4 linked regions of the Macaca mulatta genome follow. The main gene of each other region encodes a partner of the protein of the gene in region 2 in a complex. Links are inferred from orthologs where the notes say so. Each region holds a gene or a part of one and is shown on either strand. Other genes may lie near its edges. The genes, in order: ODAD4, ODAD1, ODAD3 and CLXN.

Region 1 (7,647 bases), on a different chromosome or scaffold from region 2:
GGCAGTGTTAGTCTTTAGCTGCTAAGCTGAGGAGATCTGGGAAGGAGTCAGCCAAGGAACGTTGGGTTTGGGCTCCAGGGGCTTTAGGAGCGGCGGCAGTGTGAGTCGGACAGTCCGACCTCCAGTGGGGGCCTGCACAGACATGGCTTAGGAGGAATCCCAGGCTGTGGGCATTCTGAGGCCCAGTGGCCAGGCTTTTGGCATTTGAAGCAAGGTCCACGAGGATGTTTTGAAGGAGCCCCTAGGAGCTGTGGCTTGTATGTTCTGAAGTTCTTGTACGCTGGAGACGTGGTTGTGGGTTGTCTTACGGTGGAGGCAAGTAGCTGTAGCTCAGAAATGTGTTGTTGTCTGGCTTCCTCCTCTCTATTATTGTACACCTTGAAGGCGAGGTTGATTAATTCCTGTTGCAGGGTTTGAGGGCCGGATTTCAATTTTTGAAGCTTTTTTCTAATGTCAGGAGCTGACTGGGTGATAAAATGGATATTAAGAATAAGGTGTAGGCTGGGCACGGTGGCTCATGCCTGTAATCCCAGCACTTTGGGAGGCTGAGGCAGGTGGATCACGAGGTCAGGAGATCGAGACCATCCTGGCTAACACGGTGAAACGCTGTCTCTACTAAAAATACAAAAAATTAGCCGGGCGTGGTGGCGGGCGCCTGTAGTCCCAGCTACTCGGGAGGCTGAGGCAGGAGAATGGCGTGAACCTGGGAGGTGGAGCTTGCAGTGAGCCAAGATCGTGCCACTGCACTCCAGCCTGGGCAACAGAGCAGGACTCTGTCTCAAAATAATAATAATAATAATAATAATAAGGTGGCCTTCTGGCCCCTCTGGGTCTAGGGCAGTAAAGGGTCTAAGAGTTACTGCTAAGCAGGCCATGAACTGGGCTAGGTTTTTATATTTGATGAAAAAGAGCCTAAACGCTAACTGATTTGGGAGAGGTGGGAAAAAGAAAAAGGAACATTAACCTTGACTGTGCCTGTAGCTCTAGCCACCTTTTTAAGAGGAAATTGTTGGGCAGGTGGGGGAGGGCTAGTAGTGGAACGAAACTGTAAGGGGGACCAGGTGTGAGGAGGGGAGGTGATAAAAGGATTATAGGGTGGGGGAGCGGAGGCTGAGGAAAAATTGGGACCTGGAGAGGAGCAGCCTGGGGAGGAGAGGTCAGATGGGTCTGTAGAAAAGAAAGATTCAAAAGACTCAGTGACGCTTGGGGTTGGGACTGAAGGGACAGGCGGGAGGCAAAGGAGGAGGATGTGGGACAAGTCGCATTGGGAACAGGGACTAGGGAGGGACCGATGTGTAAAAGAATGCCTGGACGTCAGGCACCTCAGATCGTTTGTCCATTTTTCGACAAAAATCATCCAGGTCTTGCAAAATGGAGAAATCAAAAGTGCCATTTTCTGGCTATTTAGAACCACTATGGGCAACTTTCCGCCCTCCATTCCCCCATTACAGAGTTTGTATTGGGGCCAAGCGGTGTTGCAGAAGAAAATAAGATGCTTAGGTTTTAGGTCAGGCGAGAGTTGAAGAGGTTTTAAGTTTTTAAGAACACAGGCTAAGGGAGATGGGGGAATGGAGGGCGGAAAGTTGCCCATAGTGAAGGAGGTAAGTTTAAAGAGAAAGGTAGAGACACAGAGAAGGGGTGTAGGGAGCAGCCCTGGGCTGCAATGTGGGTGAGCAGCCAAAGCAAGCATCCCCGCAATTGACTTGTCACCAAGGGAATGTGGGTGAATGACCAAGGCAGGCGTCCCTGCGGTGATCAGACACCAATGGAATGTGGGTGAATAATCAATCAGGCATCCCCGCAGTGATTAAAAACCAAGGGAAGACTGTCTTCCCAAGTCCGTGCTCAGCGCCGGAGTTTTGGGTCCACGGATGAAATGTGTCTCATCCTTGCCAGGCTGGACATTGTCCCTCCAACTGAAACCCTGAGTTTCTGAGGCCAGGGATCCTGTCTTTGCCTTCGTTCCTATTTCCACAGTGCCTAGAACAGCTGATTTTCTAGTGAATGGCTTATTTTGCTTCTTCCCTACAGTGACCTTCCTGATGCAAAATCCAGAGCCCTTGACAACATTGGCAGAGTTTTTGCCAGAGTTGGGAAATTCCAGCAAGCCATTGACACGTGAGTGACCAAGAATTGCCTCTCCCCCACCTCCATGGTTAGAACTTCTCATCCTAACATGAAAATTTGTTTCCAGTGATAAGAATCCAGCCTGGGCGGCCGGGCGTGGTGGCTCAAGCCTGTAATCCCAGCACTTTGGGAGGCCGAGATGGGCGGATCACGAGGTCAGGAGATCGAGACCATCCTGGCTAACACGGTGAAACCCCGTCTCTACTAAAAAATACAAAAAACTAGCCGGGCGAGGTGGTGGGCACCTGTAGTCCCAGCTACTCGGGAGGCTGAGGCAGGAGAATGGCGTAAACCTGGGAGGCGGAGCTTGCAGTGAGCTGAGATCCGGCCACTGCACTCCAGCCTGGGCGACAGAGCGAGACTCCGTCTCAAAAATAAAAAAAGAATCCAGCCTGGGCAACATAGGAAGACTCCCTCTCTACAAAAAAAAAAAAAAAAAAAAAAATTAGCCGGGCATACTGTCCTGTGCCTGTGGTCCCAGCTACTTGGGAGGCTGAGGTGGGAGGATTACATGAGCCTGGGAGGTTGAGGCTGCAGTGAGACATGATCACACTACTGCACTCCAGCCTAGACCACATGTTACCAGTGGAAGATATCCCAAGTTATTGGCAGTGAATCTGTACAGGTCTACAACAACCTCAATTCTTGCCTCCTCAGAAGAAAGACTTTGAATGAGGAGTGGAAGTTTATTAAAAAGCTAGGCCGGGGCCGGGCCCTGTGGCTCACGCCTGTAATCCCAGCACTTTGGGAGGCTGAGGTGGGCAGACCATGAGGTCAACAGATCGAGACCATCCTAGTCAATATGGTGAAACCCCGTCTCTACTAAAAATACAAAATTTAGCTGGGCGTGGTGGTACGTGCCTGTAATCCCAGCTGCTCAGGAGGCTGAGGCAGGAGAATCACTTAAACCTGGGGAGGCAGAGGTTGCAGGGAGCCGAGATTGCACCATTGCACTCCAGCCTGGGTGACAGAGTGAGACTCCATCAAAAAAAAAAAAAAGGCTGGGCACGGTGGCTCACGCCTATAATCCCAGCACTTTGGGAGGCAGAGATGGGCAGATCACGAGGTCAGGAGATCGAGACTATCCTGGCTAACACATCACCGTGCCTGGCTAATTTTTGTAATTTTTTGTAGAGATGAGGTTTTGCCATGTTGCCCAGGCTCGAACTCCTTGGCTTAAGCAGTCCACCCGCCTTGGCTTCCCAAAGTGCTGGGGTTACAGGAATGAGCCACCATACTTGATAATATTCTTAAACATTATTTGTGTTGTGTGTATGTGTGTGTGTGTTGAGATGGGGTCTTGCTCTGTCACCCAGTCTTGGAGTGAAGTGGCATAGTCTTGGCTTACTGCAACCTCCACCTCCCAGGTTCAAGTTATTCTTCTGCCTCAGCCTCCTGAGTAGTTGGGGCTACAGGCGCCTGCCACTATGCCTGGCTAATTTTTGTATTTTTAGTAGAGAGATGGTTTTTCCATGTTGGCTAGGCTGGTTTCGATCTCCTGACCTCAGATGATCTGCCCACTTCAGCATCACAAAGTGCTAGAGACATGAGCCACCACGCCAGCCTCAACTGTTGTATTAAATTCCACGTTCCATAGATGTTACCAAAATAGTCTCAGTAGTCTTAAAATATTGTTATGCTTATGAACTCCACCCTTGTATCTAAAAGAACTGGTAGTTGGAGAACAAGTTTTATTCCGTCACCCAGCAGGAAGCCTTGGCATCCTGTGGCCTAGTGCATGGTTTTGGGGGATGAAGCTGGCCCTTGTTCTTCATGTCCCCAGGTGGGAAGAAAAGATCCCTCTGGCAAAAACCACCCTGGAGAAGACCTGGCTGTTCCATGAGATTGGCCGCTGCTACTTGGAGCTGGACCAGGCCTGGCAGGCCCAGAATTATGGCGAGAAGTCCCAGCAGTGTGCCGAGGAGGAAGGGGACATTGAGTGGCAACTGAATGCCAGTGTTCTGGTGGCCCAGGCACAAGGTATGGGCTCAGAGATGACCACCCTACCTTTCCCAGCCTTCAGGCCCAGCTCACACCAGGGCTAGGAGTCCTGTGGACTGAGTTTACCATCCCAGTGTTTTTCCTTCCCAGATTGTTCTGAGAGTGGGGATAAGCCACCCCATTTTGACCAGCACGTGGTGAGTGCCTACATTAAGCAAAGCTTGGTTAGAGCTTGGGGCACCTTGAGCCTACCTCTGCCCTTGAGGAGCTCAGCTGCACACCCACACAGCATGTCGTCCTCACAACAGAGCCCATGTATTGAGCCACTTTCCTTCTGCCTTGGTACTTTTTTTTTGTTTTGTTTTGTTTTGTTTTCGAGATGGAGTTTCGCTGCTGTTGCCCAGGATGGAGTGCAGTGGTGTGATCTCGGCTCACTGCAACCTCCGCCACCCAGGTTCAAGTGATTCTCCGGCCTCAGGCTCCCGAGTAGCTGGGATTACAGGCGTCTGCCACCACGCCTGGCTAATATTTTGTGTTTTTAGTAGAGACAGGGTTTCACCATGTTGGCTAGGCTGGTCTCAAACTCTTGACCTCAGGTGATCCAACTGCCTCGGCCTCCCAAAGTGCTAGGATTACAGGCATGAGCCACCGTGCCTGGCCCTGTTTTGTTTTTTGAGACGAAGTCTCGCTATGTCACCCAGGCTAGAGTGCAGTGGCTTGATCTTGGCTCACTGCAACCTCGGCCTCCTGGGTTCAAGTAATTCTCCTGCTTCAGCCTCCAGAGTAGCTGGGATTACAGGCACACACCACCATGACTGGCTAATTTTTGTATTTTTAATAGAGATGGGGTTTCACCACGTTGGTCAGGCTGTTCTCGAACTCCTGATATCAGGTGATCCATCCGCCTCAGCTTTCCAAAGTGCTGGGATTATAGGCATGAGCCATCACACCCAGCCAGCATTCTTGTATTGAATCATTATGATGTAGGCATTATAATCATCTTCATTTTAGAGATAGGGAAACTGAGGCACAGAGAGGTTCAGTAGACTCTCCAAGCCCCATGAGGGAACCTTTTTTTTTTTTTGTCACCCAGGCTGGAGTGCAGTGGCGTGATCTTAGCTCACTGCAACCTCTGCATCCTGGTGTCAAGTGATTGTCCTGTCACATTGAGATAACTTTAAATTACATATTCAGTTAAAAATCAGGCTGGGGCCAGGCGCGGTGGCTCACGCATGTAATCCCAGCACTTTGGGAGGCCCGGCCTCAACTCTGTAAATTTTCTTTTTTTTTTTTTTTAATTTTTTTTTTTTTAGACGGAGTCTCGCTCTGTCGCCCAGGCTGGAGTGCAGTGGCCAGATCTCAGCTCACTGCAAGCTCCACCTCCCGGGTTCCCGCCATTCTCCTGCCTCAGCCTCCCGAGTAGCTGGGACCACAGGCGCCGCCACCTCGCCCGGCTAATTTTTTGTGTTTTTAGTAGAGATGGGGTTTCGCCGTGTTAGCCAGGATGGTCTCGATCTCCTGACCTTGTGATCCGCCCGTCTCGGCCTCCCAAAGTGCTGGGATTACAGGCTTGAGCCACCGCGCCCGGCCAACTCTGTAAATTTTCTAAAAATCATTGAACTTTATCCTTACTAGCTGCTGAACTTTATTTATTTATTTTTTTGAGAAGGAGTCTCACTCTGTCGCCCAGACTGCAGTGCAGTGTCACGATCTTGGCTCATTGCAACCTCCGCCTCCCAGGGTCAAGTGATTTTCCTGTCACATTGAGATAACTTTAAATTACATATTCAGTTAAAAATTAGACTGGGGCCCTGTGCGGTGGCTCACACATGTAATCCCAGCACTTTGGGAGGCCAAGGCAGGTAGATCACCTGAGGTCAGGGGTTTGGTACCAGTCTGACCAACAAGATGAAACCTCATCTCTACTAAAAATACAAAAATTAGCTGGGTGTGGTGGCACACACCTGTGGTCCAAGCTACTCAGGAGGCTGAGGCAGGAGAACTGCTTGAACCTGGGAGGCAGAGGTTGCAGTGAGCCCAGATTGTGCCACTGCACTCCAGTCTGGGTGAAAGAACGAGATTCTGTCTCAAAAAAAAAAAAAAAAAAAAATTATCCTGGCCACAGTGACTCACACTTGTAATCCTGGCACTTTGGGAGGCCAAGGTGGGAGGATCGGTTGAGCCCAGGAGTTTGATACCAGCCTGGGCAACATAGGGAGATCTCATCTTTATAAAAAATAAAGCAACATAAAGAGACTGCATCTCTACAAAAAATAAAAAATTAGGGCCAGGCACGGTGGCCCATGCCTGTAATCCCAGCACTTTGGGAGGCCGAGGTGGGCAGATCACAAGGTCAGGAGTTCAAGACCAGCCTGGCCAACATAGTGAAACCCCATCTCTACTAAAAATCCAAAAAAATAGCTGGGCGTGGTGGTGCACGCCTGTAATCCCAGCTACTCGGGAGGCTGAGGCAGGAGAGTTGCTTGAACCTGGGAGGTGGAGGTTGCAGTGAGCTGAGATCACGCCACTATACTCCAGTCCAGGCGACTGTGAAAAAAAAAAAAAAAATTAGCTGAGTGTGGTGGCAGGCACCTGTGATCCCAAATATTTGGGAGGCTGAGGTGGAAGGATCGCCTGAGCCCAGGTTGAGACTGCAGTGAGCTATGATCATACCACTGCATTCCAGCCTGGGATACAGAGCGAGACCCTGACCCTCACTCAAAAAAAAAAAAAAAAAAAAAAAAAAGAGAGAAAGAATGAAAGAATAGTCCTGAATGAGTTACGCTCTTGAATAAGCATGTGACTCCTCTGCAGACCTTTAATGTCAGAGTCCCACTGGTCTTGGAAGGAATACTGTGACTCCATATATTTTCAGAATTACATTTAAATTTTCTTTCAAGTGTAATAGCCTTCTTTTTTTTTTCTTTTTTGAGATAGAGTCTTGCTTTGTCAGATAGAGTCAGATTTTAGTGCAGTGTCACATCCCTGCATTCATGGCTCACTGCAGCCTCAACCTCCCAGGCTCCAGTGATTCTCTCTCCTCAGTGTCCCAAGTCGCTGGGACCACAGGTGCATGTCACCATGCCTGGCAAATTTTTTTTTTTTTTGGTAGAAACAGGGTCTCCCTATGTTGCCCAGGCTGTTCTGGAACTCCTGAGCTCAAGCAGTGCTCCCACCTTGGCCTCCCAAAGTGCTGGGATTACAGGTATGAGCCACTGTGTCTGGCCAAGTGTAATAGCCTTTTATTTAATTTTATTTATTTATTTTTGAGACAGAGTTTCACTCTTTCACCCAGGCTGGAGTGCAGTGGTATAATCTCAGCTCAATGCAACCTCCGCCTTCCAATTTCAAGTGATTCTTCTGCCTCAGCCTCCCAAATAGCTGGGATTCCGTTCGTCCACCACCATGCCTGGCTAATTTTTGTATTTTTAGTAGAGATGGGCTTTCACCGTGTTGGCCAGGCTGATCTCGATCTCCTGACCTTGTGATCTGCCTGTCTCAGCCTCCCAAATTGTTGGGATTACAGGCGTGAGACACCGTAACTGGCTGTAATGGCCTTTTAAAGTCTGACTTATGAGC
Region 2 (7,647 bases):
GGAGATCCACCACCTGCGGCACCTGGTCAGCTCCCTTATCCTCTCCTCCACCTCTGCCTACGCCGTCAGGTAGGGACTGCGGGTATCCTGGGGTTGTGGGACCCAGATGACTCAGGACATACCTTTCCATAAAGCAGTGGTGGGAAGGTTCAGGGCTCATGAAACAGACGTCAGAAGCTATTTTTTCCCCCCATAATATCCCCTTTTTCTCTCTCTCCCCCACCAGTTCCCCACCTCCACTCTCATGGTCCTGTTCTTTTTTTTTTTGAGACAGTGTCTGGCTCTGTCACCCAGGCTATAGTGCCGTGGTGTGATCTCGGCTCACTGCAACCTCCACCTCCCGGGTTCAAGCGATTCTCCTGCCTCAGCCTCCCGAGTAGCTTGGACTACAGGTGCTCGGCACTACGCCTGGCTGATTTTTGTATTTTTAGTAGAGACGGGGTTTCACCATCTTGGCCAGGCGGGTCTTGAACTCCTGAGCTCATGATCTACCCGCTGTGCCTCCCAAGGTGCTGGGATTACAGGCATGAGCCATTGCACCCCACTGGTCCTGTTCTCTTCCTTGGGCATGTAAATTAACCTCTACTGACCCCATCTAGCACATAAGAATGCATCTAGTGGCCAGACGCGGTGGCTCACGCCTGTAATCCCCACACTGTGGGAGGCCAAGGCAGGCAGATTGCTTGAGCTCAGGAGTTCAAGACCAGCCTGGCCAACATGGTGAAATCCCATCTCTACCAAAAATATAAAAACTTAGCTGGGCATGGTGGCGGTGGCGAGTGTCTGTGGTCCCAGCTACTTGGGAGGCTGAGGTGGGAGGATTGCTTGAGGCCTGGGGTCAGAGGTTGCAGTGAGCCGAGATTGCACCACTGCATTCCAGCCTGGGCAACAGAGTAAGACTCTGTCTCAGAAAGAAAAAAAAAAAAAAAAAAAAAGTGCATCTAGCACATATATAGTGCAGCAGGGTTCCTGGAAGCATCTGGCGAATTTGTTATTTGTCAGCATTGGTTGCAAGGGACAGAGATTCTCTCGGGCCACCTTCAGATAGAGACACGCTGTAAGGAGTTGAAGAGCTGAAGCTGCTTTAGGTGCTGGCTTCTCTCTCCTTCTCTGGGGCTCTCATGAGCTCCAGGCTCTCTCTCTCACTCCATCCCTGCCTCTTTCTCAGCTTCGCCCTCTTCTCCTCTTGCTCCAAACGCTTCCTTACCTTCTACTGAGTTCTTCTCTGGCTTCTGTTTTCTCACGGTCCCTGATCGACATCAGTTGTGGCCTGGGTCTGCCTTAGGGTCTCTGTGATTTCTCTCTTTCTCTCTCTCTGTTAAAATAAACATGGCAAAATTCACCATTTTCAAGTACAGAATTTAGCAGCATTTAGTCCATTCACAGGGTCGTGCAACCGCACCACTTCTGTCTAGATCTGAAATATTTCCATCACTCCAAAAGGAAACTGCACCTGCCACCGGGAAGTGCAGGAATCCTCGCTTCTTAGTCTTACTTGGGAGAAAAAATTCTGCCTAGAGACTGATTTAATCAACAAAGAGACTTTACTGAAGGCAAATAGAGAACAGAGAGTTTACACAGAGAGACAGTACACTCTGAAGGATGAGGAGAGCAGGCTGCTGAAAGAACGTGAGCCAGCAGCACACTGAGAGTTTTGTGTTGGGTTTTTAATATGATGTCGGACTCTTTTGAAGTTCTTGCCTCCGTCTTTTTTTTTTTTTTTTTTTTTTTTTTTGAGACAGAGTTTCGCTCTTGCCACCCAAGCTAGAGTGCAGTGGTGCGATCTCGGCTCACTGCAATCTTCACCTCCCAGGTTCAAGCGATTCTCTCGCTTCAGCCTCCTGAGTAATTGGGATTACAGGCATGCACCACCAGGTCTGGCTAATTTTTGTATTTTTAGTAGAGATGGGGTTTCACCATGTTGGCCAGGCTGGTCTCAAACTCCTGACCGCAGGTGATCCTCCTGCCTCCCAGATTGCTGGGATTACAGACTGAGCCACCGTGCCCAGCCAGTTCTCTGCTTTTGTGACCACAGGATAACTGCAACCTGATTCAGCCCCATTCCTGTGACCCCAGGCTGGCCCTGCCCATCTGGGACACCAGCTGACTCCACCCCACCCCCACAACCTCTGGCTGACCCCGCCCATCCCCAGGATCCCAGGCCGACCCCAGCCCAGCCTCCAGTCATCCTGACCCCGGCTGACCCCCCCAGGGAGGAGGCGAAGGCCAAGATGGGCTTGCTGCGGGAGCGCGCGGAGAAGGAGGAGGCCCAGAGTGAGACGGAGGCGCAGGTGCTGCAGCGGCAGATCTCACACCTGGAGCAGCTGCACCGCTTCCTGAAGCTCAAAAACAACGACAGGCAGCCAGATTCCGATGTCCTGGAGAAGCGTGAAAAGCAGGGTGAGGCCGGGGCTACCGCCTTTGCATCTCGAGGGCCTGGCCGCCCCTGGGGCACCTGCAGCACTCCTTGGTGCCCCGGGCGGGACCACACTTTGCTCACCCTCGCCCAGGAGGTCTCTGTGCTGGAGGCCACCCAGGAGGCCGACCTGCTGTTCTCTCTTCCCCCAGCCCGGGAGGTGGCCGAGGGCGTCCGGAAGACCTCCCAGGAGAGGCTGGTGCTTCGCTACGAGGACGCCCTGAATAAACTGTCCCAGCTGATGGGGGAGAGCGACCCCGACTTGTTGGTGCAGAAGTATCTGGAGAGTGAGTGGGGCCCTGGGTGGGGGGAGGAGGCCCAGGGGCCCCGGCACCCCCTGAGTCCAGTGCAGGCTGGCTTCAGCTCTGGCTCTGGGGACTCCTCCACCTGCACTGGAGGAGCAAGGTGTCAGGCCTGGGACCCGCCACCCATGTCCACTGGCATCTTACTGTGGCCCTGTCTCTGCCTCTCCCCATCCCCTCCTCTCTCCTGGGCCTGGGGTCACTCTCCACATCCTTCCCTCAACCCCGTCCCTCTCTGTTTCTCTCCTTACCCATATCTACCGTTCTCCCTGCCTGCATCTCCCCGTCTCCCTTGCTGTTACCGAGTCTCTCCGGCTTTCCCTCTGCCTTGCTATGTGTTTCTGTGTCGCCCCTGCCGTGTCTTCCCACGCCTCTTGGTCTCTGTGATTCCTCTCTGTTCATCTCTCTGCCTTGGTCTCTGTGTGGCCTTCCTCATCCTCACTTTCTCTGGCCTTCTGTGTGCCTCTCTGTCTCTCTTCTCTCTGTATCTGTATCTCTGTCTTCCTCTCTCTGGGCCCCGCCTTGCCCAACTTTCCCAGTCGAGGAGCGCAACTTTGCTGAGTTCAACTTCATCAATGAGCAGAACTTGGAGCTGGAGCATGTGCAGGAAGAGATCAAGGAGGTGAGTGAGGCCTGCCCTCTCCATCTCCTCCTCTTCTCCCTGCCTCCCTGCCCCCTCCCCTCCCTCAGCCCCCCTCCTGCCTCTTCTTCCCAGCTCCACACCCCCCAGCTCCCGAGGCTGCCATCTGGCCCAACATTCAGCCCTGTCCCCACAGATGCAGGAGGCATTGGTGAGTGCACGTACCAGCAAGGATGACCGGCATTTGCTGCAGGAGCAGCAGCTGAATGCGTTGCAGCAGCGCATGGACAAGGTGCGCTTGGAGGCTGAGCGCCTTGAGGCCCGCTTCCAGGATGTGCGGGGACAGCTGGAGAAGCTCAAGGCTGGTGAGCACCCACGGGCGCCCCCTCCCAAGCCTGGCTTCTCCACTTGGAAGGACACCATTAGCCTGTGGGGCTTGGAGGCATTGCATGGACAACCTGGTTCACTTGCTTATTGGTTGCTCCATATCTGTCCATCTTTCCAACCAGGGTCTATCCCTCCAACTGTCTCATGTCCATCTATCCATCCAGCATCTGTCCCTCCAGCTGTCCTACACCCATCCATCCATCCATCCATCCATCCACCCATCCATCAGTGCATCCATCCATCCATCTAGGGTTGATCTCTCCAACTGTCCCATATCCATCCATCCATCCATCCATCCATCCAGAGACTGTCCCTCCAACTGTCCTATATCCATCATCCATCCGGGATTTATTCCCTCATCTGTCCTATATCTATCTCTCCATCCAGGGTCTATCCCTCCATCTGTCCCATATCCATCTATCTATCCAGGGTCTGTGCCTTCATCTGTTCTATATCTATCTATCCATCCAGGATCTACCCCTCCATCTGTCCTATATCCATCCATCCATCCATCCACCCAGGGTCTATGCCTCCAACTGTCCTTATCCATCATTCATCCAGGATCTATTCCTTCATCTGTCCCATATCTATCTATCCATCCAGGGTCTATCCCTCCATCTGTCCCATATCCATCTATCTATCGAGGGTCTATTCCTTCATCTGTTCCATATCTATCTATCCATCCAGGGTCTACCCCTCCATCTGTCCTATATCCATCTGTCCGTCCATCCATCCATCCATCCATCCATCCATCCATCCATCTATCCATCCATCCATCCATCCATCCATCCATCCATCCATCCATCCAGGATCTGTTCCTCCAACTGTCCCATGTCCGTCCATCCATGCAGGGTCTGTCCCTCCAACTGTCCCATGTCCGTCCATCCATCCATCCATCCATCCCTCCATCCATTGTCTATCCATCTGTCTGCCTCCAACAGCCCCACATCCATCTGTTCATCCATTTGTCTGCAATGACATTTGACTTTTGTCTTCCTAGTCTTAGTCTTAGTTACCAAATTTCTTCTTAGTCTTAGTTACCAAAAATGTTATTATTTGTAAAGAAAATGATGATAAAATATAATAGCAATGTTTATTATGTGTCATTCACTCTGCTAGGCACTTAGGCATTATTCCACTTGTTTCACAAAACACTGAAAAACAGATGCTGTCCCTCCCACTGTCCCATATCCGTCATCCACCCATCCATTCATCTATCCAGTATTCATCTATGGATCATCCGTGTACATCTGTCTGTCTATAAATGCCTAGCAATGGGACTGACGGGTCTTAGGGTAGGTATATGTTGATATTTATTGGAAAATGCCAAACAGTTTTCCAAACTGGTCGCAAGATTTTATGCCCTCACCTATGTGAGCATATGGGGGTCCCAGATGTTCCACACCTTCTCCACCGCTTCCTAGTGGCAGCCATTTTTTATTTTATTTTATTTTTGAGATGGAGTCTTGCTCTGTCACCAGGCTGGAGTGCAATGGTGTGATCTCGGCTCACTGCAACTTTCACCTCCTGGGTTCAAGCGATTCTCCTGCCTCAGCCTCTCGAGTAGCTGGGACTACAGGTGTGTGCCACCACGCCCAGCTAATTTTTGTATTTTTAGTAGAGTCAGGGTTTCACCATGTTGGCTAGGATGGTCTCGATCTCTTGACCTTGTGATCTGCCCGCCTCAGCCTCCCAAAGTGCTGGGATTACAAGCGTGAGCCACCGCGCCCGGCCATCGGCCATTTTAATATTAGCCATCTAACGTTTGTGCAGTACTATCTCTATTAATTTAATTGGCATTTCCCTAGTGACTAATAATATTGAGTATCATATTGGCCATTCGGATATCTTTGTGAAGTTCCTGTTCAATCTTGTGCACTCGTTTTTTTAAAAGTTGGGTTTTCTTGCTATAACTGAGTTGTAGGAGTTCTTTGTATATTCTAGACACTAGACTTTTGGTAAATATTTTCTCCTATACTGTAGCTTGCCTTTTCACTTTTTTTGGTGATGAACTGAAGTTTCTTAGTTTTGAGATCTAATTTATGAAATTTTCTTTTTGTAGTTAGTGACTTTGTGGCCTGCCTGAGAAATTTTTGCCTGTCCTGAGTTTACAAAGGCATTGTGCTGTGTTTTCTCCTAGAAGTTTCATTGTTTGAGCTCCCACATTGAAGTCTGTGACTTATGCCAAATTGATTTGCATGTATGGTATGAGGTAGGGGTCTAGAGTTTCCTTTTTAAAAAAATTTTTAGATTTTTTTCATTTATTTATTTTTTTGAGAGGAATTTTGCTCTTTTGCCCAGGCTGGAGTGCAGTGGCGCAATCTTGGCTCACTGCAACCTCTGCCACCCAGGTTCAAGCAATTCTGCCTCAGCCTCCCGAGTAGCTGGGATTATAGGTGCACACCACCACATCCAGCTAATTTTGGTATTTTTAGTAGAGATGAGGTTTCGCCATGTTGGCCAGGCTGGTCTCAAACTCCTGACCTCAGGTGATCCACCCGCCTCGGCCTTCCAAAGTGCTGGGATTACATGTATGAGCCACTGCACCTGGCCCTTCCCTTTTTTTTTTTAGAGATGGGATCTTACTATGTTGTCCAGGCTAGTCTTGAACTCCTGGATTCAAGTGCTCCTCCTGTCTTGGACTCCCAAAGTGCTGGGATTACAGGCATGAGCCACCACACCTGGCCGAGTTTCTTTTTTTTTTTTTTAGACAGAGTCTTGCTCTGTCGCCCAGGCTGGAGTGCAGTGGCCGGATCTCGGCTCACTGCAAGCTCCGCCTCCCGGGTTCACGCCATTCTCCTGCCTCAGCCTCCCAAGTAGCTGGGACTACAGGTGCCCGCCACCTCGCCCGGCTAGTTTTTTGTATTTTTTTTTAGTAGAGACGGGGTTTCACTGTGTTAGCCAGGATGGTCTTGATCTCCTGACCTCGTGATCTGCCCGTCTCGGCCTCCCAAAGTGCTGGGATTACAGGCTTGAGCCACCGCGCCTGGCCTCTTTTTTTTTTTTTTTTTATCCTTTCCGTGGGTATCAGTTGCATCCACCTGTGCATCCTCCCATCGTTCTCTTTTATTTCTATTATTATTATTATTATTATTTTTTAATTTGAGAGAGAGTCTCGCTCTGTCCCCCAGGTTGGAGTGCAGTGGCACCATCTCCATTCACTGCAACCTCCCCCTGCTGGGTTTAAGTGATTCTCCTGCCTTAGCCTCCTAGTAGCTGGGATTACAGGAGCACACCACCACGCCCAGCTAATTTTTGTATTTTTAGTGGAGAGTGGATTTTGCCATGTTGGCCAGGCTGGTCTCAAACTCCTGACTTTAGGTGATCCACCCACCTCGGTCTCCCAAAGTGCTGGGATTACAGGCGTGAGCCACCACACCTGGCCTCATCTTTCTTATTTTTCAGGAAGTAGCCATGCAGAGCACTCAGGAGTCAGGCTGTCCTGTTTTTTGTTTTTTGTTTTTTTGGTTTTTTTTTTTACATTTATTGTTAGCTTTTTTTATTTATTTATTTATTTATTTATTTATTTATTTATTTATTTGAGATGGAATCTCACTCTGTCAGCCAGGCTGGAGTGCAGTGGTGTGATCTCGGCTCACTGCAATGTCCGTCTCCTGGGTGCAAGCGATTCTCCTGCCTCTCGAGTGACTGGGATTACAGGCACGCACTACCATGCCCGGCTAGTTTTTTCGTATTTTTAGTAGAAACAGGGTTTCACCATGGTGGCCAGGCTGGTCTCAAACTCCTGATCTCAAATGATCTGCCTGCCTTGGCTTCCCAAAATGCTGGGATTACAGGCGTGAGCCACTGCACCCAGCCTGTCCTGGGTTTGAATCTCAGCTCCACCAATTATGAACCTTGGTGTGTGGCTTCCTCCTTGTGAGCCCCTCTGGGAATGGGGATGGCAGTGCCTTCTTTGCAGGGTTGTCATGAGAATTAGAAGGGATGACAGATGGAGAGAA
Region 3 (7,647 bases), about 49 Mb from region 2:
ACCCCCAGCCTTCTTTCTTTCTGACAGGTTCTTGCTATGCTGTTCAGGCTGGAGTGCGGTGGTTCGATAATAGCTGGGCTCAAGCGAGCCTTCCACCTCAGCCTCCTGAGTAGCTGGGACTACAGGCATATGTCACTGTGCTTGGCTAATTTTCTTACTTTTTGTAGAGATGGGGTCTCACTATGCTGCCCAGGCTGGTCTCGAACTCCTGGGTTTGAGCAATCCTTCCTCCTCAGCTTCCCAAAGTGCTGGGATTATAGGCATGGGCCACCGCACCTGGCCTGAGCATAGATTTTAGAGCCAGATTTTCTGGGTTGGAATCCTGACTCTGCATAATAGTTGTCAGCCTTGGGGGACTAAGAGTAACCTAATTGTTCTCAGTTTCTCCATGTGTGAAATGGGGATAGTAACGGTACAACATAGGTACCTCAATTGTGTTAAGTACTTAGAACAGTGCCTGGCACATAGCAAAGTACCATAAGGTGTAAACCAATGGTTCTTGTTAGAAAAGGGTTAGTTTGCCCCACAGTGGCCATTTGGCAATGTCCTAAGACATTGAGACCAGCATGGCCAACACGGTGAAACTCCGTCTCTACTAAAAATACGAAAAATTAGCCAGGCGTGGTGGCAGGCATGTCTGTTGTGGGTGTGTGTCTTCCACTGGCATCTAGCGGGCAGAGGTGAAGGTGCTGCCCAACATGCTACAAAACACAGGAGAGCTCCCCACAGCAAATAATTATTCGGCCCAGTTGGTCATCCTGAGGTTGCAGAATCCTTGTGTATAAGCCATTATTATTGTTTTTGTTGATATTATTAAGAGGTAATCATGGCTGGGCGAGGTGGTTCACGCCTGTAATCCCAGCACTTTGGGAGGCCGAGGCGGGCGGATCACGAGGTCAGGAGATCGAGACCATCCTGGCTAACACAGTGAAACCCCATCTCTACTAAAAATACAAAAATTAGTGGGGCGTGGCGGCGTGCGCCTGTAGTCCCAGCTGCTGAGGAGGCTGAGGCAGGAGAATGGTGTGAACCCGGGAGGCGGAGCCTGCAGTGAGCCGAGATCGCACCACTGCACTACAGCCTGGGCGACAGAGCGAGACTCCATCTCAAAAAAAAAAAAAAAGGCTGGGTGCGGTGGCTCAAGCCTGTAATCCCAGCACTTTGGGAGGCCGAGACGGGCGGATCACGAGGTCAGGAGATCGAGACCATCCTGGCTAACACGGTGAAACCCCGCCTCTACTAAAAAATACAAAAAACTAGCCGGGCAAGGTGGCGGGCGCCTGTAGTCCCAGCTACTCAGGAGGCTGAGAAAGGAGAATGGCATAAACCCGGGAGGCGGAGCTTGCAGTGAGCTGAGATCCGGCCACTGCACTCCAGCCTGGGCGACAGAGCGAGACTCCGTCTCAAAAAAAAAAAAAAAAAAAGACCGGGCGCGGTGGCTCAAGCCTGTAATCCCAGCACTTTGGGAGGCCGAGGCGGGCGGATCACAAGGTCAGGAGATCGAGACCACAGTGAAACCCCGTCTCTACTAAAAATACAAAAAATTAGCCGGGCACGGTGGCGGGCGCCTGTAGTCCCAGCTACTCAGGAGGCTGAGGCAGGAGAATGGCGGGAACCCGGGAGGCGGAGCTTGCAGTGAGCCGAGATCGCGCCACTGCACTCCAGCCTGGGCAACAGCGTGAGACTCCATCTCAAAAAAAAAAAAAAAAAAAAAAAAGGGTAATCTTGCATGATTGCTTGTGACCTTAAGCAATTTAATCAGCCCAAGCCTCTGTCTTCTCATCTGTGCAAGGCGTATGATATGCCTATGCATATGGATACCTATTGGCACATGATATATGGCATTTGGAAACCTCTTAGTCCAACATCCAAAACATAATAAATGCTCAAAGTGAAGTACAGTTGATCCTTGAACACCATGTGTTCATGTATATCATTCATCCTTTCAAGTTTAAAAAAATTGAGATGGGCAGGCCGGGTGTGGTGGTTCATGCCTGTAATCCTAGCACTTTGGGAGGCTGAGGCAGAAGGATTGCTAGAGGCCAGGAGTTCGAGACCAGCCTGGGCAACATAGACCCTTGACTCTACAAAAAATAAAGTAGCTGGATGTGGTAGCACATGCCTCTAGTCCTAGCTACTTGGGAGGCTGAGGCAGGAGGACTGCTTGAGCCCAGGAGGTTGAGGCTTCAGTGAGCAATGATAGCACCACTGCACTTCAGCCTGGGTGACAGAGCAAGACCCAGTCCCAAAAAAGAAAAGAAAAGAAAATACAACAGTCATGGGATGCAAAACTTGAGTATACAGAGGGACAACCGTTTGTATCTGCAGTTTCCACAGGGCTGACTGTAGGACTTGAGTATGGAAGGATTTTGGTATACTCGGATCCTGGAACCAATTATCTGAGTATACCCAGGGACAGGGGTTTTTTTTGTTTGTTTGTTTGTTTGTTTTGAGATGGAGTCTTGCTCTGTTGCCCAGGCTGGAGTGCAGTGGCAGGATCTCGGCTCACTGCAGCCTCCACCTCCGGAGGTCAAGTGATTCTCGTGCCTCAGCCTCCCGTAGCTGGGATTACAGTCACCTGCCATCATGCCCAGCTAATTTTTGTAGACGCGGGGTTTCACCATGTTGGCCAGGCTGGTCTTGAACTCAGGCGGATGACCTCAGGTGATCCGCCCACCTCTACCTCCCAAAGTGCTGGGATTACAGGAAAGAGCCATTGTGCCCAGCCTCACACCTGGCTAATTTTTGTATTTCTAGTAGAGACGGGGTTTTACCACGTTGGCCAGGCTCAGGCTGATCGACGATTGCATTCTTACAATATTAAGTTGATGAGGCCAGGCGCGGTGGCTCACGCCTGTGATCGCAGCACTTTGGGAGCCCGAGGCGGGCAGATCACCTGAGGTCGGGAGTTCGAGACCAGCCTGACCAACATGGTGAAACCCCGTCTCTACTAAAAATACAAAATTAGCCAGGTGTGGTGGCACATGCCTGTAATCCCAGCTACTTGGGAGGCTGAGGCAGGAGAATCTCTTGAACCCGGGAGGCAGAGGCTGTGATGAGCCGAGATTGCACCATTGCACTCCAGCCTGGGCAACAAGAGCGAAACTCTGTTTCAAAGAAAAAAAGTTGATGATTGCAAAAAAGGTCTTCCCTCTGGGATATTGCACCCACCCAGCCACCCTCCCAGTAACTGTGTGTCTGTCCACTTCCCCTGCCTGCCAGAGGGTGACCGGAAGGCTTTTTTTGAGAGCTCTCAGTGGAACATTAAGAAGAACCAGGAGACCATCAGTCAGCTCCGCGAGGAGACTAAGGCACTGGAACTAAAGCTGCTGGACCTGCTCAAGGTAAGGGGCGCAGGGGTGGGTGGAGGGTTCCTGTGGCAGGGATGGGGGGAGCAAGGAGGTAGCACCTGGCCTCAGGGGGAAGAGGCATGCTGAAAGGTGACTGGACTTCCCTCCTTGCAGGGAGATGAGAAAGTTGTCCAGGCAGTGATTCACGAATGGAAGTGGGAGAAGCCATACCTGAAGAACAGGACAGGCCAGGTTTGCCCACCCTCACTCCACCTCCTCCTTCATTTCCAGCCTGGGTCCCCTCACCTATGAACTCCAGGCTCACCTCTCCAATCCTTCCTGCACAGTAGCTGCCATTCGTATGCTCATTCAATTAAATCTTTATTACTAACTGTCCTTGTATCTGGCATCCTGGCATGGTAGTAAATGCAGTGAAAAAGCAGACCAAGTCTCCACTTCTAAAAGCAGCTCGTATCCTAATAGGGAAAACAGGTTTAAAAAAAAAAAATCACAGCCGGGTGCAGTGGCTCACGTCTGTAATCACAGCACTTTGGGAGGCCGAGGCAGGCAGATCACCTGAAGTCGGGAGTTCGAGACCAACATGGAGAAACCCCCGTCTCTACTGAAAATACAAAACTTAGCTGGGTGCGGTGGCGCGCATTTGTAATCCCAGCTACTCAGGAGGCTGAGGCAGGAGAATCGCTTCAACCTGGGAGGTGGAGGTTGCAGTGAGCTGAGATCACGCCATTACACTCCAGTCTGGGCAACAAGAGCGAAATTCCATCTCAAAAAATAAATAAATAAATAAAATTAAAAAAAAATTTTTTTTAAGTCACTTGAACCCCGGGGGCAGAGGCTGCAGTGAGCTGAGGTTGTGCCACTGTGCTCCAGCCTGGGCGACAGACGTGAGACTCCGTCTCAAAAAAAAAAAAACAAAACAATGACCGACCAGTGGCACATGTGTGTAATCCCAGCTACTCGGGAGGCTGAGGCCGAAGGATTGCATGAGCCTAAAAGTCTGAGACTGTAACGAGCCACGATTACACCACTGCACTCTAGCCTGAGTGACAGTACAACCTGTTTCTTTAAAAAAAAAAAAAGAAGAAGAAAAAAAAGGCCGGGTGCAGCGGCTCACGCCTGTAATCCCAGCACTTTGGGAAGCTGAGGCGGGCAGATCACGAGGTCAGGAGATCGAGACCATCCTGGCTAAACCCTGTCTGTACTAAAAATACAAAAAATTAGCAGGACGTGGTGGCGGGTGCCTGTAGTCCCAGCTACGCAGGAGGCTGAGGCAGGAGAATGGCTTGAACCCAGGAGGCGGAGCTTGCGGTGAGCTGAGATTGGTGCCACTGCAGTCTAGCCTGGAAACAGCATGAGACTCCGTCTCAAAAAAACAAAAACAAACAAAAAAACAGAAACAAAAGATAAAAAATCAAAATAAAGGCCAGGCGTGGTGGCTCGTGCCTGTAATCCCAGAACTTTGGGAGGCCGAGGTGGGCGGATCACCTGAGGTTGGGTGTTCGAGACCAGCCTGGTCAACATAGCAAAACCCCGTCTCTATTAAAAATACAAAAAATTAGCTGGGCATGGTGGTGCATGCCTGTAATCCCAGCTACTCGGGAGGCTGAGGCAGGAGAATCACTTGAACCCAGGAGGTGGAGGTTGTGGTGAGCTGAGATCATCCACTGCACTCCAGCCTGGGCAACAGGACCAAAACTCTGTCTCAAAATAAATAAATAAATAAATAATAAAAAATAAAACACAGTCTAGGCATGGTGGCTCATGCTTGTAATGCCAGTGCTTTGGGAGGCCAAGGCTGGAGGATTGCTTGAGCCCAAGAGTTCGAGACCAGCCTGGCAACATAGTGAAACTTTGACTCTACAACAAATACAAAAGATTAGCCAAATGTGGTGGCGCAGGACTCTAGTCCCAGCTACTTGCCAGGCTGAGGTGGGAGGATCACTTGAACTGGGGAGGTCGAGGCTGTAGTGAGCCATGTTCATGCCACTGCACTCCAGTCTGGGTGACAAAGCAAGGCCTTGTCTCAAAAAATAATTTTTTTTTTTTATTTTTAATTTGAGACGGAGTCTCGCTCTGTCGCCCAGGCTGGAGTGCAGTGGCCGGATCTCAGCTCACTGCAAGCTCCGCCTCCTGGGTTTATGCCATTCTCCTGCCTCAGCCTCCGGAGTAACTGTGACTACAGGTGCCCGCCACCTCGCCTGGCTAGTTTTTTGTATTTTTAGTAGAGACGGGGTTTCACCGTGTTAGCCAGGATGGTCTCGATCTCCTGACCTCGTGATCCGCCCGTCTCGGCCTCCCAAAGTACTGGGATTACAGGCTTGAGCCACCGCGCCTGGCCTCAAAAAATAATTTTTAAAATTAAAAGGCTGGGCATGGTGGCTCACGCCTGTAATCCCAGCACTTTGGGAGGCCTAAGTGGGTGGACCACTTGAGCTCAGAATTTCATGACCAGTCTGGGCAACATGATGAAACCCTGTCTCTACCAAAACTACAAAAACGTAGCCAGGCGTTGTGGCATGTGTCTGTGGTCCCAGCTACTGAGGATGCTGAGGAAGAAGGATCACTTTAGCTCAAGGGGCAGAGGTTGCAGTGAGCCAAGATCGAGTCACTGCACTCCAGCCTGAGTGACAGGGTAAGACCCCATCTCAAAAAACAAAACAAAATAAAACTGGGCTGGGTACAGTGGCTCATGCGTGTAGTCTCAGCACTTTGGGAGGCCCAGGAAGGAGGATGGTTTGGGCCCAGGAATTCGATACCAGCCTGGGCAACATAGCGAGACCCTGCCTGTATAAATTTTTTTGTTTGTTTTTTGGTTTTTTTTGAGACGGAGTCTCACTCTGTCGCCCAGGCTGGAGTGCAGGGGCATGATCTCGGCTCACTGCAAGCTCCCCCGCCAGGTTCACACCATTCTCCTGCCTCAGCCTCCCAAGTAGCTGGGACTACAGGTGCCTGCCACCACGCCCGGCTAATTTTTTGTATTTTTAGTAGAGATCGGGTTTCACCATGTTAGCCAGGATGTTCTCGATCTCCTGACCTCATGATCTGCCTGCCTTGACCTCCCAAGGTCCTGGGATTACAGGTGTTAGCCACCGCGCCTAGCCTAAACAATTTTTTTAAAAGAAAAAAATGGCCAGAAGTCAGCCGGGTGAGGTGGCTCACGTCTGTAATCCCAGCACTTTGGGAGGCCGAGGCAGGTGGATCACCTGAAGTCAGGCATTCGAGACCAGCCTGGCCAACATGGTGAAACCCTGTCTCTACCCAAAATACAAAAATTAGCCGGGTGTGGTGGCACATGCCTGTAATCCCAGCTACTTGGGAGGCTGAGACAGGAGAATTGCTTCAACCTGGGAGACGGAGGTTGCAGTGAGCCAAGATCGTGCCAGTACACTTCAGCCTGGGCAACAGAGCGAAACTTCTTTTCAAAACAAAACAAAAATTAGCCAGGTGTGCTGGTGGGAGCCTGTAATCTCAGCTACTTGGGAGGCTGAGGAGGAGAATGGCGTGAACCCAGGAGGAGGAGGTTGCAGTGTGCCGAGATTGCCCCACAGTACTCCAGCCTGGGCGACAGAGCAAGACTTCATCAAAAAGAAAAAAGAAAAGAAAAGAGAAAAAAATTTTTGTTTTAAATTTGTAGAACCCTGAGCCGATGTAAGATCACCAAGGTGGTGGATATAGACAGAGAGAAGACCCTGGTGCTCTCTCTCCAAAAACAGCACAGAAGGGGTGGCCAGGGAGGTGGGTAGAAAACGGGAGAGGGGAGTCCTGGAAGATATGGGAGAAGGAAGGGAAGAAGGGCTAGATGTGTGTCGGGGTAGGGTGTTCAGGCCCCTGCTTTCGCTCCCCTCCTTGCAGCAGGCCCTGGAGCACCTAGACCACCGGCTGAGGGAGAAGGTGAAGCAGCAGAACGCCCTGCGTTACCAGGTAGTGTTGCGGAAGAGGCGGCTGGAGGAGCTCCAGCTGCAGCACAGCCTGCGCCTTCTGGAGATGGCGGAGGCGCAAGACAGCCACACGGAGGTGGCCAAGGTAGGGGCGGGTGAGGCCTGCAGGGCAGAGGGTCGTGTGGGAGGGACTGAGTGCGGAGGGCCCTCAGCCCAGCCCTGCTGCTCTCCAGACCATGCGGAACCTGGAGAACCGCCTGGAGAAGGCCCGGATGAAGGCGCAGGAGGCCGAGCACATTACCAGCGTGTACCTGCAGCTCAAGGCCTATCTAATGGTAGGGACTTGGAGGGCTCGGGTGAGATGGCAAGCAGGGAGGGCGGGCTTAGCCAGGGACAACAGTCACAGGCCTGCCCCATCTTCCCAACCCCTCCCCACCACGCCCCAGGACGAGAGTCTT
Region 4 (8,148 bases), on a different chromosome or scaffold from region 2:
GCCAGATTCTTTACTGAAACCATCAAACCTGCTGACATTATGGCTATCATAAAAATTAACCGGCACAGGCCACCTCTTAATTTACAGCTTTGTAAATTACATGTTAAGATACAAGAATCCTATCCTTAGTAAACCTTACGCATTTGTCTTACTGGCTGGTCACTTGATTACAGTAAAAAAAAAAAAAAAAAAAAAAAAGTCTAGAAATACGTCAACACCAGTGAATATCGAGTGTGAATTTTGGAGAAAGGTCAGTTTAAATGAAAGCTCTTCTATATTGCCCGGCTCCCTTTAAAGGCTCCATTGTGGTTACTGTACCAGGGACTCAGCCCCAGGGTGCTGCAGGGAAACCTGGGGTTCATTCCTGCTGGAGTGGTTCTCCCACCACTTTCCATCGATACAGACCACACAACATGGACCGTGTGATGAAATTTCAGAGGTACAGACAGATGATAAACAAACAAATGCAGACATACAGCAAGTGAAATAGACTTAAATATATGGAGGGAGAGAGAGAGAGAGAGAGAGAGAGATCATGAGATTTAGTCTAGTGGGAAGGAGAAGTTAGAAAAAACAAGTTGTTTCACACAGTAGTATGTGCTAAAAAATGGTACCAAGGAAGAGAATGGCTGGGTGGGGAAGGGTTCACTCCACATAGGGGAGCAGAAAGAGCTCTTTGAAGAGTCGCCCCTGGGAGTGGTTGGGGTGAAAAATATGCAGAAATTGTGCATAAGACAGTGTTCTATGGTCTGAATACAGAGACTCTAGCTTGTCACCACAACCTTAGAGCAAAGGAGAGAGTGACAAGTGGTGGAGATTTGGAGATTCTACCACCCAAACAACTGGTCACATGAGTAACTCTGACTTTTGTATCACTGTCTCCACAAATAAAAGTAGTAAAGTTGAATTTGTATTATGCAGGTAACTAACCTTTCTATTTTCCTTTTATTCAAGCAATTTTATAATAGATTTGTGATATACTTGGAGATCAATTCTATGATGTCATTTCCTCAACAGTTTCCAAGGGCCTTCATCATAAAAGGTCCACATTAAGGAAAACAATTTCATCAAGTCAAGGTCCAAGCTGTTTATCATGGCAACAATCCAGTGAATGCTGAGTCAAAGGGAAGATTGTTTTGCACACAAAACTAAAGGAAACATAGCATTAATAGTCACTTTAATGTACTTCTGTGTTTACAAAGTTATTCACCTTGAGGTTCCTTGGACTTTTGGAAAGTTATATGATCATTTCATGCACAGTAAAATTTATGTCCAATACAAATTAAACACAATCCTTTATTATTCCATTATTGATTGATTTAATATGAAGTAGCCTCTTAGGCTTAATTGCCTTACTCTGAGAAAGCCCTTAGTGGAAAGCAGTCCTGTGTCTACTCAGCATAAGCAACTAAAACTACAAATAGAAACTTCAACTTGCTTTGAAATGTTATTCACTGACTCAATCAGGCCTGCAACTTTTTTTAAAGTCTAAAAATATTAAGTTCCAAAACTTCACAAGAATGTAATGAAAGCTCTGAAGTTTACCCATATGTTGACAAAACATACCCCAAATAAACACTGTACTTTCCCTGAAAAAGATGGTAAGACCTTATTATAAGGTCAACTCTGCAAACCACTCTCTTAGATAAGTGAGATTCACAAAACAATGCATTTGTATGGATAGATAGATAGACATAGAGATACAGAGATGTTTTTGGCTAAAAGAACAGCATGGAAGAAAGAACTGGAGGAGGAAAGAAGTGGAAAAGGAGGAGGTGGCTTAAAAAGTTTGCTCAACAGGTTAAGAAGTTTTGACCTGGCGCATTTTAATTTCAACAATCTGTGATATTACCCCTACATCTTTTTATTATTGTTTTAACTTTAAGAGAATATGGTTGATGGGCTCTGGGCCTGAAACTCGTGAAGGAATAACTAATTCGCTCAGCTGTAGCAAGCACCCAGTGTGTGCGATCTCCCCAGGCCCCCAGAAATAACCACCAATGTGCTCACCAGCAGCGCAGGCCTGCTCCCCAACACAGGCCTAGTACATCAGACAGGGAGCCCACAGTGCCTCTTAGTAATTACTGACAACCACTCTTTCAGTACCTTGTCTCTTGAAGTGAGCAGTGCAGCAATCTCTAGGAATTAAGTATTTGCTACAGCTCTGTGATCTAACAGAAATCAATAAGGTGTCACAGGTAAGTATAATTCAAATATGTCCAGTCTTTCCCTTTTGTTCTCTATGGTTTCAGGAATTTCACTCTTCTAGACAAGGGGATATGTAGAAACACTATTTAAAAAGGCTACTGTTACAAACTCATAATCACCATCAATTCATATCAGGTAGCTGTTGTTAGGTCATTTGCTTTAGGATAAAATACAGTCCATGCCTTTACCAAGCACCCTTTGCTCTAGTTTCAAACAGCATCCCAATCCTTCATTCCAAAAACAAATGAAACAGTAAAGAGAAACCAGAGACCCTGACATTGGAATTATTTCATTTGGGATTATTATTCATGGTTAGTAGAATTTTTCTGCTTCAGTCTAAAAATGCCAGTATGTGTACAATAACATAGTTTGTCATTTTCCCCTCTGAAGTTAAACAAGCAGGCACTCTGGAGAATACTGTAGATTTGGTGCTCCTGGCTGAGCCACCCCTTTTTGTTGCTGCCTTAGCTGAAAGGGAGGTATCCCCTCTGTGGTCAGGAAAAGCAGAAAGTCCTCCCACACTGAAGATGTAAGGACTATCCTTTGTCTGCAGACACAGAACCTGTCTTTCAAATAAGTCAAGGACCAAGGTTACTGAGATATTTTCCAGAAAAGCAAGATTGGGCTGTATCCCACACCCAAGTGGTAGTTGTCAGCCCCTGTTTTCATTGGGGGGAATGCCTATTTAAGCAGTATAAAAATTCCTAGTGACTTTATTCAGATTCCACAGACAACTTCCACCTTTTGAGAGTGAGATGAGGGCAGTGGGAAAAGAAAAAAAAACTACAGTCACAAGCCACATAGCGCCATTTAAGTCAATGTCAGACAACATTAGGACAGTGGTCCCATAAGATATAACACTGTACTGGAACACTGCTCCTTCCCCAGAGTGCTTAGCACTCTGTCCTAGCTGCCTGCAGCATTCCGCGCAGTGACCTGCTGTGCAGGTGTGCAGCCCAGAAGCAATGGGCTGTACCATACAGCCCGGCGTGCAGTAGGCGAGGCCATCTAGGTTTGTGTCGGTGCACCGTGATGTGCACACACTGATGAAATCTCCTCGTGACCTCAGAACGCATCTCCATCCTTAGACAACCCGTGGCTGTATTCCAATTTCCCTTTGCTCTCAGAAACACAACTAAAAGCTTGAAGACCTCAGGTGACAAACTGCCTCCTGTTACCGCACCAAGACTGACAGCCTAAGCGTGGCTCCGCCCAAAGAGCAAGCTCCTCGCCCTACGACAGGAGGCCCGGCGAGACAGTCCTCTGGACAGCACCCTTGCTGTTTTGTGACGCTGCTCCAGCCCCCAGGATGTCCAAGATCTTAGGCTTCCCTTTGACGCGTGACGCTCACCACCCGAAACATCTCTCATACAGCGTGCACACCACATTTCAGATTTTAATGATTTACACTGCAATCAAGCAAAAAGGTTGCGAACTCAAAAGCCAGCAACAACTGAACATTTAAACTCCAACGTCCACAATCAGAATACAGCCCTCAAGGCGGCCAGCTGGGACCCTGCAGGCAGCACCGCGCACGCAGGACCTAGAGCACGCCGCCGTTGAGCCGATGGGCGGAGCTCAGTTGTTGCCATGGCCACGTCGCGGGCAGCCTGGGAGCCAATCCGCGGCGGATCGAGCCGTTGCCTTGGCTACACCGTCTGTTAGGGCAGCGCACGCTATCAGTGACTGAGACCTCACCGCGTTGCCCCAGCACCAGGGCTCGCGGGGGTCCCGGGAGAGTCTCGGCAGCCGTGCGCCCCGAGACCCCCGCCGCGGCCCGATTCTCTGAGGGCCAGGCATGAACCGCAAGAAGCTGCAGAAGCTGACAGACACCTTAGCTAAAAATTGCAAGCATTGTAAGTAAGAATCTAGTGCTGGACAAGTCGAGGCTCCTGGACCGAACCTGGGTCCCACCCGGTGCCAGGGTCCGCTGTTCTGCCTGCTTCCGGCCTCCTGGGCTTGTGTGGGCTACCTACCGCCCCTCCACTCCGGCCCCTTAGGCGTAAGTCAGTGGGTGAATCCCCGGGGTGCTAGCTCCTTGGGTTTGATCTTAGGAACCCAGGCCTCCACCTCTAGTGCTACCTACACTCCCACACATGCATTTACTTGCTTCTCCAAGCCTCTTATTTTACCTGATAGAAACGTGATGTTAGCCTCAGTGAGGTGTAAAATAAATGCTAAAACCCACTGGTCTCAAGAAAAGTACCACCACCAACGTGCACTCACCCTGCTTTCTAGCTCGCATATACACTCGCAGGTACAAGTTCTGGAAGCTTACCAAGAGACCCATAGGAGAAAACGGTGCTCAACTTCTCAACATCTTTAGGAGATGTTAGTTGTGTCATCTCATCTGTGCCTCAGAACAAGATTTGTTTGGAAAACAGAGTTCAGCACAACTAAACACGCGGAAAAGAATGGATTCCCAACTTTAGACTCCCACTTTCCTGTGGCCCCTAGTGTTGAAAGATAAAGGAGACTTTGCAGGTGACAAGATGAGCCCTATTTGAAGGCACCTGCTCTAATCTCGCATTTGAAAGGGTGGTACTGGAATTTCATAGGAAACTTTGAGTTTATATTCAGACTGAAAAACATAATTGCACTTGAGCAAGGAAACCGTGGGTATGGTTTAGATGAGGAAGATATTGCCTGTCGAGCAAACTTAGAAGTTGTATGTTCATTGCAAATCTACTGGTCACTTGAAGAAACAGAAGCAACAATTCCCCAAATATCTGCATTGCTCAAAGAAGAAGGAATAAACATGTTGATGTAGTTTTAGAGATCATAAGATCTAGTGCATTCTAATTATCATTAGTGTCTGATTTAATACCTGGTAAGAAATGCTCTCTTAGTGGGATGGTGACGTAAATGAATGTTATGGTATGTGTAAGCATCTTAAAATGTCTAGGAAAAAAAATCCTGTAATTTAAGGTATTATTATGACTACTATACTCTGATGAGAGTTTTGTTCTGTTATTGTTTTTCTTAAAACACTTTCATTTCTGGGAGAAGAATAGGTATTCTTCTAGTAAACATCTAGTAAACATTTTTGATAAATATTCAAAAACAATGCAATAGCTGCTATACACAATACTGATTTTGTCCCTTTCCATAAGTTTGAATTTGAGTTAGTCTCTGTTCAGTAAGTTTGAATGCATTGCAAACAATCATTCTGTAAACAATCAAAAGGTGAGTGTATATTTTTAAAGATAATTAAAAATATGGCAGGAAAAAGTCTACTCTTGATTTTTTTATTTACTAAAAAAATTTTAATGAGTCTTACAAACTTAGATGATTATTACAGTCTATAGAAATAGTTATAAGTCATGGGTATTATAATAATTTTAAATTTTCTTTAACAGAAGGAACTTTCCCCTAAAGTTAAATTTTGTTTTAGTTGCAAGACAATAAAACTATCAAGAGTCAATGGATAAATTTTGTAGAATCAAAGAAGAGTGAAAGATCTTAAGAGAGCATCTAGTTCATGCACCATTCTACAGATATGTTCTGCAGGACACATTTAGAGCATTCCAAGAAGATGAAAATCTGTTCTTGAATTTTCTTCAGTTTCATTTAATATTGTATTCTAGAATTTAAGAAATGTTTAGCAATAAAAGTTTTCTTATGGCTAACCTTTGATCCTTTGGGTAATAAATTAAACTAACTTTTTAAAATTTTTATTTCAGCTGAGATGGAAAAATGGCTAACCAACATCCCCTCTACTACCATTTTATATACATGAACAGAGTACATCATTCTTCATGCAGGTTTTTCTTCCCCAACCACTAATAGCTCTTGCTTTTTAAGAGGTTTGTGTGTGTGTATATGCGGTTACATGTAACATGAAATTTACTATTTTAACCATTTTAAGTGCTTACATCCTCCTCCAGAACTTTTTCATCGTCCCCAGTGGAAACTCTACCCATTAAATATTAACTCACCATTCCCTCCTCATCCTAGCCCCTGGCAACTACCATTTTACTTTGTCTCTATAAATCTGACTAAGTACCTCATATATGAGGAATCATACAATATGTGTCCTTTCGTGCCTGGCTTATTTGACTTAGTGCAATGTCCATAAATGTTCATCTATGTGTCAGAATTTTCTTCCTTTTTAAGGCTGAATAATACTTCGTTGTATGAATACGCCACATTTTGTCTATCCATTCCTCCATTGATGGACTCTTGCATCTGTCTTTTGACTGTTGTGAATAATGACACTATGAACATTGTTGTGCAGGTTCCTGCTTTCAGTTCTTCTGAGTATGTATTTAGAAGTAGAGTTCCTGGATCATACGATAATTGTGTTTAATTTTTATGAAGCGCCATCATACTGCTTTCCAGTGACTAACAGCTGTTTTTAAAATCATAACCATTATATTGTTTCCTACTGTTTATTTGCTGAATCTTTTTTCCCAAAGTTTTTAGTGTTTCTCTTTAAATGTGGTTCTCCAAACCAGATATCTCACAAAAGCCTGTACTGACCTCTAGGATGAGGTGTGATTTTTCCATTCCTAGATGCTGTCTTCTGTTATACACATGCAGGTTTTGTCCTTGTTTGTTAAAATGCTCAATCATAGTTTTGTCTGGTTTCTAAATAAATTTTCCCCAACTTCCTCCCATACTTGGTATTTGGGCTTTTATATTATCAAGACCAGGCAATAACCCTTCCACCTACATTCTCAAATGGGGATTGGAACACAAATAATTAACTCGGTATTTATAACCATGGTCCTTTATACAATAATGTGTATGAGCAAGTATCAGTGTGTGTATATATCCTTTAAATAAAAATGTCCTTCCTCCAAACTATTACTGAATACTTGCATGTCAATTTTTACATAATCCTCAAGAAGAGCCATATTGGGTGCTAAAATATGCTTTAAAGCTTTTTATTGGAAAACTGGTGACTCTAGTTTCCAAAATCTGGCTTATGAATTCATGAAGCCTAAAGTGAAATGAAAATCGTTACCTAGTTCTCATGAACCTGACATCTATTTCCAGGGAAAAGAAGTTGTAAATCTCATGAATGCCATAGTAAAAATATTGAGAAAAAGTTACCATTTTTTAATCTTACCATTCTTATTTTGAGTCATATATCTACCAGCCTTGTAGAGTTTAGAATCTGACACCACTATCATTATTCCAGTAACTTGGCTAACATTTTCATATTTTTTCCCTAAACATGAGAATTCCTGTTTGGAGGGTATGCTACTTCTTTAATTTCTATTAAGTTAAGGGTCATTAATCTCAAAACAGGAGAGTCTTCTATTGACAATTACCTATTTGATGTCTTTGATGTTGTTTGTCAGTAAACTTATTGCAAAATTTAAGTTAGAACTTAAAGATTAAAGATTCACTTTTGTTATATCTATTTTATTCTTTCAGTTAATAAATTTGAAGTGAACTGTCTTATAAAGCTTTTTTATAGCTTGGTGGGAGCAGTAGAGAGGCAAGGTCTGGTTATTGGACTGGATCGTAATGCATTTCGAAACATCCTGCATGTGACATTTGGAATGACAGATGACATGATTATGGACAGAGGTAAGAGACACGCAAGATTCAAATTAGCCAAATCCAGCCATAACTGGGAAAAAAAAAGGTTTGGTGCTTGGATATCCTCTTGGTAGGAAGCTTAGTGTTTTGCATTCCCAGTGTCATTGGAATATACAAATTTAATTTTGAAAAGATCACAGAAAAGGAGGTAATATCAGCTTTATTTTGTGTATTTAAGAAGACAAAGTCATGTTGACTAACTACCTTTCTCTTACCTTATATCAGAAAACCTAAAACATTTCGATTTCTACTTAATAAACGTAATAGAGTAGTTTTAAAAGGACATTTAAATTCTTTCCATCACAGAAAATATTTCCGTGACAAGATATAATTCTATGCATCAAGTAATGACTTGAGTAACAAAAATATAAAGTATTTTATTTATAT

The links.
Region 1: ODAD1 (region 2) and ODAD4 share a complex: the UniProt entries of both Homo sapiens proteins name them as parts of the outer dynein arm-docking complex. The link is inferred for Macaca mulatta from reciprocal best matches to the Homo sapiens genes ODAD1 and ODAD4.
Region 3: the proteins of ODAD1 (region 2) and ODAD3 are in contact, whole or in part, in a cryo-EM structure (PDB 9CPB), measured with the Bos taurus proteins. The link is inferred for Macaca mulatta from reciprocal best matches to the Homo sapiens genes ODAD1 and ODAD3. Residues at the interface, in XP_024834988.1 of Bos taurus: Leu31, Gln32, Gln34, Cys35, Met38, Glu41, Arg42, Tyr45, Val49, Arg52, Ile53, Gln56, Leu57, Glu59, Ile60, Leu63, Glu64, Val66, Arg67, Leu70, Arg71, Gln73, Ile74, Ala77, Gln78, Asp86, Arg89, Leu90, Ser92, Met93; in NP_001095517.1 of Bos taurus: Gln69, Leu73, Lys76, Ile77, Leu79, Leu80, Asp83, Arg84, Phe87, Tyr88, Thr91, Asn94, Ile95, Asn98, Gln99, Thr101, Ile102, Leu105, Arg106, Glu108, Thr109, Leu112, Gln113, Gln115, Leu116, Leu119, Gly122, Asp123, Val126, Ala129.
Region 4: ODAD1 (region 2) and CLXN share a complex: the UniProt entries of both Homo sapiens proteins name them as parts of the outer dynein arm-docking complex. The link is inferred for Macaca mulatta from reciprocal best matches to the Homo sapiens genes ODAD1 and CLXN.

Annotation. Positions count from the first base shown.
Region 1 is NC_133421.1:66,284,211-66,291,857, forward strand, and holds part of ODAD4 (outer dynein arm-docking complex subunit 4), read left to right. Parts: intron 1-2,031; coding exon 2,032-2,118; intron 2,119-3,910; coding exon 3,911-4,107; intron 4,108-6,582; exon of another isoform or gene 6,583-6,615; intron 6,616-6,786; exon of another isoform or gene 6,787-7,069; intron 7,070-7,647. UniProt on the Homo sapiens protein: Component of the outer dynein arm-docking complex (ODA-DC) that mediates outer dynein arms (ODA) binding onto the doublet microtubule. Plays an essential role for the assembly of ODA-DC and for the docking of ODA in ciliary axoneme.
Region 2 is NC_133424.1:60,756,137-60,763,783, reverse strand, and holds part of ODAD1 (outer dynein arm-docking complex subunit 1), read left to right. Parts: intron 1-1; coding exon 2-69; intron 70-2,212; coding exon 2,213-2,400; intron 2,401-2,568; coding exon 2,569-2,703; intron 2,704-3,257; coding exon 3,258-3,340; intron 3,341-3,494; coding exon 3,495-3,663; intron 3,664-7,647. UniProt on the Homo sapiens protein: Component of the outer dynein arm-docking complex (ODA-DC) that mediates outer dynein arms (ODA) binding onto the doublet microtubule. Involved in mediating assembly of both ODAs and their axonemal docking complex onto ciliary microtubules.
Region 3 is NC_133424.1:12,160,175-12,167,821, reverse strand, and holds part of ODAD3 (outer dynein arm-docking complex subunit 3), read left to right. Parts: intron 1-3,222; coding exon 3,223-3,344; intron 3,345-3,464; coding exon 3,465-3,542; intron 3,543-7,163; coding exon 7,164-7,334; intron 7,335-7,422; coding exon 7,423-7,524; intron 7,525-7,635; coding exon 7,636-7,647. UniProt on the Homo sapiens protein: Component of the outer dynein arm-docking complex (ODA-DC) that mediates outer dynein arms (ODA) binding onto the doublet microtubule. Involved in mediating assembly of both ODAs and their axonemal docking complex onto ciliary microtubules.
Region 4 is NC_133413.1:59,293,043-59,301,190, reverse strand, and holds the start of CLXN (calaxin), read left to right. Parts: upstream 1-3,846; 5' UTR 3,847-4,006; coding exon 4,007-4,064; intron 4,065-7,593; coding exon 7,594-7,749; intron 7,750-8,148. UniProt on the Homo sapiens protein: Component of the outer dynein arm-docking complex (ODA-DC) that mediates outer dynein arms (ODA) binding onto the doublet microtubule. Seems to regulate the assembly of both ODAs and their axonemal docking complex onto ciliary microtubules.